Linked DNA regions of Ovis aries. The protein of the gene in region 1 interacts with the protein of each later gene in a biochemical or structural test. Links are inferred from orthologs where the notes say so. Each region holds a gene or a part of one and is shown on either strand. Other genes may lie near its edges.

Region 1 (5,125 bases):
GATTGCTGCAGTCCCAGATAACTGGAACACGCTTCTTTGTACCATGCAGAATGAATCACAGACCTGGGGCCGAACCCTGGGGAGCAGGTTTGCTTCTGGTGTCCTGTACTGAACCAGCCAAAGGTATGCTGATGTGGCTCCTGCAGTTCCCTTCTTCTCTACTATGGTTTGCTGTGCCCCAAGAAGTCAGAATGGCTCATGCTTTTGGGGTTCCAACCACAGTGTCTGTTCTTGTTTCCCAGAAATCCAAGCTCCTCTCTTTAATAAGGCCAGTGGGGTGAAATGAATCACTAAGGTTTGAAGATGGATCAGAGAATGGGCATAGCATGTGGTACATTCCACACTAAGCAGGCCTTAACTTAAAATGTGAACTAGCAGAAAAATACAAAGGGCCTTAGAACCAAGGCAACAAACCCTTCGGGAATGGGCTCCTAGTCAGTAATGTCTCTAAATGGGGCACAGTTTGTGCGGCATGCACTTCTATGTGCTGTGGAGGATTCATGGGGAGACTCAACCACACTTTAAAGCCTAGTCAGAAAAAGCACTAACCACTTTAACAGCAGCGACGTGGTTCTGCACTGTGACACGCCTTCAAAATCCCCACATGTGTCACAACGCAGAGCCCCGTTGCTGCTGTTAAAGTGGTTAATGCATAAATGAAATTAGGCAGAATCAAAGAGGAAGTGTCTCCAGGGCAAAGTTTAGCAGGGAAGGAGATTAGAAAGAAGGTGGGTCACCCAGGCTGGAGGGAAAAGGGTGCATGAGTGGGTCTGGGCTCCCACCATCACCAAGACCAGCACAGGCAGATGCAGAGAATGTGTTGGCTGTTTTGGGAGTCTGAGATCCAGTATACACGTCCATCACTCAGGGGCTCCCCAACGCCACCTGACTCAACCAGCTTCAGCAAAGAGGCTGGGGCATCGGCTGTCCTCTGCCCAGCCACTTGTTTTTCAATGAAGGAACAGGCCTAGAAAGAGGAAGTGGTTTGTCTGCAGTCACATCATCATGACTGGAACTCAGGCTCCAAAGTAGACACCAGCACTCTCTTCTCTCCCAGTTGACCAGATGTCAACTGTCTTGTAGTGGTAGTACCTTTAACAAGTCAAGAATAGGTTCAGGTGGTCCTATTCCAAGAAAGAACAGTGGGAGGGGAAATGGGGTTTTGAAGCTCCTCGTTTGGTAAGCATGGGAGGCAGGGCAAGGGGACTGATTTCTCTGCAGCTGGTGAACAAAACATCTTCAGTCACTCAGAACAGGAGAGTCTAAATTGTCCCCTAGAGTTTGGTCTTCCAGACCCACACCTGCAGGAGAAGCAGGATCGCTGGCGAGAGCTGTCACCCATCTCTTCTGTAAGCGCTTCATCCAGTCTCCATCCCTTCAAGGCAGGACATCCACATAGTCGCTGCCACTGTTCTCTGGGGAGAAAAGGAGACCAGCCGTGAGGCTCTGCACCCAGGAGTCACCCTGACCAACACCTCTCGTGGGAAAGAAGCCCTCTGCCCAGGCACAGGGTGGTCTTGATGCCACAGCAGAGTGACACCTTCAAGAGCTGGGGCACCACAGGGAGCTCTCCTGGCAACATAGGGGGCCTGTTTATAAGTCAAGGACAAGAGTTTCCAGCACCAGATGCCTCCACTCACCAGCAGAGAACCTGTGCCGCCCTGAGGGTGAGAACACGTGAGGCTTGTTCTGAGGTGGCCAAGGGAACGGGGGCGGGGGAGACGATGAGCAGCTCAGAAGAAGTTCCTTCCCCCTTAATGGCTGAGGATTTGGGAGCTCGTTCTGCCAAGGCTGCCCGAGCTTGGACAACTGGTGTGGCGAGATTCCCGCTCAGCTCTTGGAATGAACTCCAAAGGGTTCTCCTCTTGGGATTTGTGGTTATTTTATTATCCCTGAGACAAATACTACCGCCACCCTCAAGCACCCCGAGCAGCTCATCAGGGTTTGCCTAAGGACTGCAGCACGAGTACATCCCTAGGTTGCTCCTCTGCCCCCCTTTTATTCTTTGTATTTTTATTTCTTTCTGTAAGTTATGGTAGAAAATGGCCATGGGACCACATCTGCAGCTATAACTATAGCAAGCAACTCTGTGATGGGGTACACACTCCTCTGCCTGGGGGAGGGAGACAGAAACAATGGGAGGGGAGGGCTGTTTTCTCATTAAAAAACTGTGTTCAGTCTTGGGGAGGTGAGAAGCTTTCTCTGGCAGTCTAAAGGGCAGCGAGGCTGTAGACAGAGTACAATGGGTATGGGGTGACTGCAGACTTCCTGGAACCCTCTGTTCCCCTCCTTGCTCCCTAGCTAGCACTCTGCTCCCATTACGTCACCTGCCCACTGAGGACTGAAATCCCTTTAATGGGGCTCTAACCATACATTCCACCTTGAGAAAACAGGGTTAAACTGTAAATGTCTCAGGAAGTCTGAGCTAAATTCGAACTATGTTGTGACTGATGGATACTAGATTCTTTTCTGCTAACAGATTTCAAGGGGTGTACACAAGAGTCACTGCTTGGGATATGACCTGGATCCTGTGCACTCAGATTTACTGATCCTCTGCACTCTCATTTCCCACCATGGCTTGATAACTCTTGGGGTGTATCTGAAATAATTAGCCCCCTGCTCCCTACTAAGGCACTCCAGTCATGTCTGACTCTGTGCGACCCTATGGGCTGTAGCCCACCAGGCTCCTCTGTCCATGGGATTCTCCAGGTAAGAATACTGGAGTGGGTTGTCATGCCCTCCTCCAGGGCATCTTACAGACCTAGGGGTCAAACCCACATCTCTTATGTCTCCTGCAATAACAGGCGGGTTCTTTACCACTAGGACCACCGGGAAAGCCCAATTTGTCCACTAACACCACATAAATGAATGCTTAGCAAATATTGAGCAAAATGTAACAGGATGAGGCTTGGAGAAGGAAGTTGAAGCAATTTTCTTATTTGAAAATTCTGCTTTTTGGCCATCTATTCCCAAATATGTGATTGGCACAAGGTCACAGGGTGAGTTTGAAGTTGACTCATGGAATGCCTGGGAGAAGGCAATGGCACCCCACTCCAGTACTCTTGCCTGGAAAATCCCATGGACAGAGGAGCCTGGTAGGGTGCAGTCCATGGAGTCGCTAAGAGTTGGACACGACTGAGAGACTTCACTTTCACTTTTCACTTTCATGCATTGGAGAAGGAGATGGCAACCCACTCCAGTATTCTTGCCTGGAGAATCCCGGGGACAGAGGAGCCTTGTGGCTGCTGTCTATGGGGTCGCACAGAGTCGGACACAACTGAAGCGACTTAGCAGCAGCAGCCGCAGCATGGAATGCCCGGGGACCACTATTTTCCCTGGGTTGCCTGAGCACAGAGAGCTCTGTGCGTTTGCCACCACCAGGAGCATGAAGGCACTGCTTCCTAACAAGATAGAAAAATGCTATTCGCAGGATGAGGCTTTCTAGAGCTAACATCATAGAAAGGAGCAGTTATCTGTATGGATTCTGTAGTAGAAGTGGGACTAAGGCTCTTGTCTGGGCCCCCTATGAAAGTTTTTACCATAAATACCATCCAACTCTATCTTCGATCTTCTCCATCTCAGGCAGGATCTGGTTCTCTTTATTGGGTTTACGAGGTGAAACATCAGTCCTTGATTTGGCTTTTCAAACTTGGAGATCAGTTCCTTCAGGTTTGGAAAGATCTCTCGTTTAACACCTTCCACAGTCTGCAAAAATACAAGAAGGAGAGCACTCATCACCACGCAACTATGTGTGAAAGGTGACACTTCTCACAACAGTGGTTTTCAGGGCTGCCTCTGAGCAGCGAACTGAAAACAAGTGGCTGGCATTTCATGTGTGGGAGCTCACACCACACACAAAACACAGAAACCTTCCCTCTAAAAACAGAGCTCTGGCTTGAGCTACTGTGAGTAAAGAGGATTAACAATCAAGGGTCCCCACCTCAGTCTGCAGTATTGAGTGAATTCCCATCTATGGCAATGTGGGGGCAGCTCTTGTCCGTACCCTGTGGAGGGTAACCCCTCTAAGAGCTTATGTGAGAGTGTAAGCGACTAATGCAGGCAGACTTCAATGGGAAATGCAATTTCTGTACTTGATGGTGGTCCAGTGGTTAGGAATCAGTGCTGTCACTGCGTGGTCCTGGGTTCAATCCCTGATCAAGGAATTAAGATCTTGCAAGCCACATAGCCAAAAAAAAAAAAAAAAAATCATAAAAGCCTACATACTTGAATTCAGAATCTCCGTGAGAGGAAAATAAGACCAAAATGTCCGGATTTAAATTGAAAATGGAAATGTCAGCATGATTCAGGTAAAATTATGAACAGTTGTTTTCTGTTTACCAGCTATAAGCAAAGCACAAATTTCTAGTCATTTAAAAAAAAATAATAACGCTTTCACTTTTTTTTTGATGTGGGCCATTTTTAAAGTTTTTATTGGATTTGTTACAATATTGCTTGTTTTATGTTTTGGTTTCTTGGCCATGAAGCATATGGGATTTTAGTTCCTCAACCAGGGGTCACACCTGCACCGCTTGTGTTGGAAGGCAAAGTCTTAACCAGTAGACCTCCTGGGAAGTCCCTCTACTACAATCTTACAGAAATAATTGTAAAACAAAAAAGCTTCTTCAGCTCTTATGTAGTTGTGTTTCTTGATGATCACTGTGGTTCTCAGAGGGCCAAGGTATTGGTCTGCAGAGACGGGTGGTGATGGGAAAGCTCTGGGAACTGCAGTGTGTGAACCTCCGTGACAGAGACTCCGGCTGAGCTGGAAGTCGGCTGCACGAAAGGCTGTTGCATCAGCCCAAGGCGGCATCTAGCACCGGCCCTGATGTAGAGCTGCTTCCCATGAAATGCCCCCGCGTCTGTTAGAAGAGATGTGGATGCCTCTCTGTTTCGTCCAGACAAGAGACAAAATGGGGTATTAAGGAATTATCCAGAATTTCCCAAAATATGCACAACAAAGAAATGTTTTAAAATGAGTTGCTTTAAAAGATTCAAAAATGTTTTTTAAATTTCCATGTATATCCTTCACCCGCACCCCAAAGGTTAACATTTCATTGTTTTGCCTTTCATCTTCTCTTTCTAAATATACAAATGTACATATATTTATCCTTTTTTAAAAAAAATA
Region 2 (5,918 bases), about 2.2 Mb from region 1:
GGCTCCTCTGTCCATGAGATTCTCCATCCCATGGATATTCTCCAGATAAGAATACTGGAGTAGGTTGTCATGCCCTCATTCCAAGGGATCTTCCTGATCCAGGGATCAAACCTGCATCTCCTGCATTGGCAGAGGGGTTCCTTAACATTAGCACCACCTGGGAATCCCAAGGCAAGTGGAATTGATGTTTATTCACCACATGCTTCCCAGGTGTAGCTTCTACACTTGGTGCTCACCTTTTTGGTGCTCTTATTCAATTATGATATGCATACGGAAACTAAATGTTATGGACTGCCTTTGGGAATTTAAATAAATATGGACAAAAAGCTACTTCTACAGCTTGCGGGGGTCAGGCTGCTCACGATCTCTTTAATTTCTGTCAATAACTTCCTATAGTCCCCTGAGTTTTCTCTCCTGCAGCCCTGTAGTCTGAGCTGTCCTGAGTGCAAGGTTCAGTGTCTTCACCCATTTCCACACACACACACAAATAAAACAAAACCAAAAAACCTATACTAAGAATTTTGTTGGGGGATTTCCCTGGTGATCTAGTGATTAAGACTCTATGCTTCCACTGCACGGGGCATGAGCTCAGTAGCTGGTCTGGGAATTAAGATCCTGCCTGCTGTGCGGTGCAGCATGCTGTGTGGTGTAGCAAAAACAAACAAACAAAGAGAATGTCATGGGTTCAAATCCTCTACTGTAGATTTGGAAGTTCACAAGGAGCAGATTCCATCATGAAAAGGGAAGGTTTCTAACACGTGAGAGGCTCAGACCCTATCTTTCTCTTCCTATATCTGCATAAGCAACAGCTTCCCCCATTATAACACAGAAGTATTGAACCTACAGCTGGATTGTTTGGGGAAGGGAGGTCTTATCTTCTGTTCTCCATAAAGAGCAGCTTATACTCTTCATAAAGCATTTATGAAGCTCTTTATCCTAAAGAAGCTCTGTTCCCTCCCAGAGAGGAATTCTAATAGTGGTTTCTTTAATATGACCATGAGTTCTAACCCAGTAAGGTGTAGGAATCCTATCTAGATGGTAAACTCCTTGAAGGTAGATCCTGTACCTTATGCTTCACACGCATTCCCCTTTCCACATGACACAGTATAGCGCAGGGGGCACTCAATATGCACGTGGTGGACAAGTGATTTAAGTTAAATTAAATTAGGAGCCATAGAATGAAGCTTGGAGAAGACTGCCATATACCCTTTGGCTGGGAAATTCCATGGACAGAGGAGCCTGGAGGGCCACAGTTTGTGGGGTTGCAAAGAGTCGGACATGACTGAGCGTGCATGCACATACACAAAATAAGAAGGTCTCAGAAGGAATGCAGGGTCACCTTCTGAATGGCCCAAGGCAGGAGTGGAAGGGAACAATCAATGACCTACTTGGCAGTGCTTTATTATAGCCGAATGGAACCAGAAACAAGGTGTGCATCTGTGCTCTCAGCACCATCTGTGTTCCCATTTTCAAACCACCACTTCCTGTGGCAGGGACTCTGGCTCTTTTTGTTCTCCCTCTTTTTGCTCATATAGTGAGGCCCCTCAGGATGACGATGCTCAGAAATCAGATCAACATTGTTCTGGGGTCCACAGGTCCCGGTCTTTGTCCAAAAAGAATCCTTATCTGAACAGTCTTCTTTAAAAAATAAAAATAAAAAAATCATTAAAAAAAATCTTTATTGAATTTGTTACAACGTTGTTTCTGTTTTATATTTTGGTTTTTTGGCCAAAGGCACATGAGATCTTAGCTCTCCAACCAGGAATCAAACCCACACCCCCTGTACTGGAAGGAAAAGTCTTAACCACTGCCAGGGAAGTCCCTGAACATTCTTAAAGAGGAGACTTAGGACTTTCCCCCTCCGTGGAACCTCTTAGAGACAGCTGAGCAGGCTGGTTGAGAACTCCAGTGCCATTTATGAAGAGTTCTTTGCGTGAGTTTCCATCCTTTGGTCTTCTATTTGATTGGCTGTGCTTTAGACCTGATAACTCGGCAGGTAGCCACGCCTCTAAGGAAAAGGCTGAAGGGCCTTTTTTATTTATCTCTGAAAGTCTGCTGCCACAGAAACACAAAAGTCTCTCTCAAGTCCCCAAATTCTAATTGTTTAAGGGAAGATAAAGAAGAAAATAAAAAGGATCTGAGAAACAAATGTAGCTCACCCCAGGAGATACCGAGATGCTAATATAACGGTCTGAGAGCGCCATATCTCTTTCCGGCCTTTCATGTGGTCTGTCAGCAAGGCTGTCTGCCTGGAGCACATCAACGTGAAGAAGTCAGTCATCTTCAAGAGACACCTTTTTGTTGGTGGCAGCTTCCTCTCAGAATTGGGAGTGGGGGAAGGGTGGTCCCAAACCATACACTAATTTAAGATATGGCGCCACCCAAGTAAAAATTATTACACAGAGTTCTCAGCTTCCAGAAAAATCCCTCACACTTGCTATCCCACCCAGCATTGCGTTGCAGGGACGACTGGGTGTAACCCCTGGGGCCATTTTCATCCTTCCCCGACAAAGCAAGTCTTGTCCAGTCACATGACTGGCCAGCTAAGGACTCCATTTCTCAGCTTCCTGTGTAGCAGGTGTGGCCACGTGACAGGGCTCTGGTCCATGAGAGGGGACAGGTTTCATCCTTCCAAGATTGTTGCCATGTTTCCTGGGTTGGGAGTACCAGGGAGAGGGACTTGCCTGTACACAGAACAGCTAGATGACTCAGTAGCAATGGGAGCTCCCTTTTGATGAGATGGCCTTGTTAGAAAGGGGGAGCCCCCGGAGCTCACTGGCAGGCGTCAGATTTTCCTTCCACTGAGCTAACCTAGACTTGCTGAGCCAACCTTTTGCTAATCTACTGAAAGGGGTCCTCTTTTCAAAATGAGCTCCCAGGGGCATTCCCTCTGAGTTCAACTGTTTAAGGTTTAGTATTACTCACTACTGCACAGACAGAACTATTTCAGAACACAGTCATGAAAGATGGCAGCAAGTCACTCACTGTCCAGTGCTGACCCACATTAACATGACCTAGGAGAAGGCTTGGTAGCATCCTTGGATTTGTTTTTTTGTTGTTGTTGTTAGTCACTAAATCATGTCCAGCTCTTTGGGACCCTGTATACTGTAGCCTGCCAGGCTCTTCTGTCCATGGATTTCCCAGGCAGGAATACTGGAAAATACTGGTTGCCATTTTCTTCTCCAGGGAAATTTCTTGACCCAGAGATTGAACCCGCATCTCCTGTATTGGTAGGTAGATTTTTTTTTTTTTTCACCACTGAGCCACGAAGAAAGTACTTTGTAGTAAAGAGGCTTCATAACAATAGATATGAAGGTATTTCTTGCTGTAAAACACTGAGATAACAAGTGGAATAAAGATGAATATATGATGGAGAGCCTGGACAATTGTTAGGAAAAAAAGATCTTGAAAAACAAATACGTTCTTGTGTGGTTTAGTCTGAGTCCTGATGAGAACCAGTGCTGACATCATGTTACATTTGCTTTCATCACATCATTACCATTCGAATTTTTCATTAAGGAAAGTGAAAAATGTCTCAAGATCACTGTCCTTATTATAGATAACAAAGAGACCTCTAGCAAATCCTCATACCCCACCACATCATCCCAAGACTGGGATTTCCCTCCCTTGAATGAGATCTTTGTTAAGGGAACAACCAGTGCTCTGGCTCAGGACTCATCATCTCTTGATGGGTAACTGCAATAATGGGCCCTCCCCACAGCTAGTTTCTTTTTCTTCTGCTTCTTCCCCACCACAGTCTACTGTCCACACCACTGAAAATTCTCTCTGAAATGCAAAACTAATCACATTATCCTCTGTCTAAAACTATCTATTAGTTCCCATCAGAATACCATAGGACAATACAGAACAAGGCCCAGTTATATCTGCTTTTCTCTCTGCCTTGAGTGTCTTTCTCTTATCTGTTTGGGTAATTTCTATCTATTCTTCAACACCTAGTTTGTGTCACATTCTCCATGATGCTCTTTCTGATTCCCTGAAACAATGTCAATCATTCCCTCCTCTGGGTTAACTTGCACATATTTCTGTTTTGCCCCTATTGTACTACTTAACCTGGAATAATAGTTACTTATAGAGCTATTCCCTTTCTTAAGAGCAAAGAGTGTGTCTTTTTTTTTGTCTTTGTGTTCTCAGCACCTAGCACAACGTTGGAACATAGCAGAATCTCAGTAATGTTTTGTTTGTTGAACCAAGCATGGTATTTTAAAAATCAGTGATATTCTTTTGCAAACCCAAATCAACGAAATAATAAAATTCTGTTTTCCATATTTAGGCAATCTGGTGTACTGAAAATGGCATGCCACAGACTAGCTGTGTGATTTGGTTCTCGAATGCTGTGGTTCCCCATCCCTGGAGGCAGGGCAGGGGATCTCTATTTGTGTTATGGGTTGACTGTGTTTCCCCAAAAATTCATATGTTGAAGTCCTTAAAATGTGACCTTATTTGGAGACTGGGTCTTTACAGAGGTAATCAAGTTAACATGAGGTCATTAGGGTGGATCTGAATCTAATCTTACTAGTGTCCTTGTAAGAGGAAATCTGGACATACAAAGTCGCTAGGGATGAGCATGCAGAGACCACATGAAGACACAGCAAGAAGACAGCCATCTGCCGTACAGGAGGGAGCCCTCAGGAAAAAATCAACCCTTCCAACACTTTGATCGTGGACTTCTAGCCTCCTTTCTCCTGTGAGAAAGTAAATTTCTGTTATTTAAACCACCTCATCTGTGGTGTTTTTGTTATGGCAACCCTAGCAAAGTAATTATAGGTGGGTCCTAATCCAATATGACTGGTGTCATTTTAATAAGTGGAAATCAGGACAGATATACGCAGAGAGGGAAGACAATGTGAAGAGACAAAAGGAGAAGACAGTTATCTCCAAGCCAAGGAGAGAAGCATGGAACAGCTCCTTCCCTCATGGCCGTCAGAAGAAACAACACTATTGACACTTTGATTTTGAACTTCTAGCCTCCAGAACTGTGAGACAATAAACTTCGGTTATGTAAGTCACTGACTTTGCAGCACCTTTTTACAACACCCCTAGGAAATGAATATACAAACGGTAATCCTTCATTAGCATTTCTTATTAATGTACATAAAAATGGACTTATAGACTACTTACTCGGGAAAGAGCTTCAGGAGTTCACCCTTTTCAGTTTACATATAATGAAACAGAGGTCCAAGAAAGTGCAATGGCTGCTGAGTAGTTGCCTTAATGCCTGAGTTGAGGTCCTGACAGGGTTTTCCCATGGTTCCATGTTTCTGCTGCTTCTTGTCCCTCCCCATCTCATGAAGGCCTGCTCCATATCCAGTAAATCTGGTCACACTAGTGCATACTCGGTCCTCAAAGTGGTTTAGATGGACCACTCAAACATCTTTACATGTTTCTTTTTTCTTTCCTTTTTAAACATTTTATATTCAATTTTTATTTTATTTTTTGGCCATGTCATGTGCCATGTATGATCTTATTCCCTGGAAAGAAAAAGTGATGTCGCTCAGTTGTCTCTGACTATTTGCAACCCCATGGACTATAGCCTACCAGGCTTCTCCATCCATGGGATTTTCCAGGCAAGAGTACTGCAGTGGGTTGCCATTTCTTTCTCCAGGGGATCTTCCTGACCCAGGGATCAAACGTGGGTCTCCCTCATTGTAGGCAGATGCTTTATCCTCTGAGCTACATGCCCTGTGCTGTGGAAGTGCAGTCTTAACCACTGGACAACCAGGGAAGTCCCTTTATATGTTTTTTTAAGAATGTCCTGAACTAAGTGCCTCTAGCAGAAGCTTTATGGCCAAGACTTTGAGATGCATTAACTAAATTCTTGTTAAACCATACTGAGGAACATGAAGAGAATTATTCTTCTTTTCTGAGATGGGTCAGGGTAAAACATTTGGTGCCCTAAG

What was found.
Region 2: the proteins of SH2D1B (region 1) and SLAMF1 interact in a test that uses a peptide from one of them, tested with the Homo sapiens proteins (2 studies listed by BioGRID). The link is inferred for Ovis aries from reciprocal best matches to the Homo sapiens genes SH2D1B and SLAMF1.

The regions. Positions count from the first base shown.
Region 1 is NC_056054.1:113,921,154-113,926,278, forward strand, and holds part of SH2D1B (SH2 domain-containing protein 1B), read right to left. Parts: intron 3,706-5,125; coding exon 3,540-3,705; intron 1,416-3,539; coding exon 1,378-1,415; 3' UTR 1-1,377. UniProt on the Homo sapiens protein: Cytoplasmic adapter regulating receptors of the signaling lymphocytic activation molecule (SLAM) family such as CD84, SLAMF1, LY9 and CD244. In SLAM signaling seems to cooperate with SH2D1A/SAP.
Region 2 is NC_056054.1:111,728,039-111,733,956, forward strand, and holds the end of SLAMF1 (signaling lymphocytic activation molecule), read right to left. Parts: intron 1,639-5,918; coding exon 1,403-1,638; 3' UTR 1,386-1,402; downstream 1-1,385.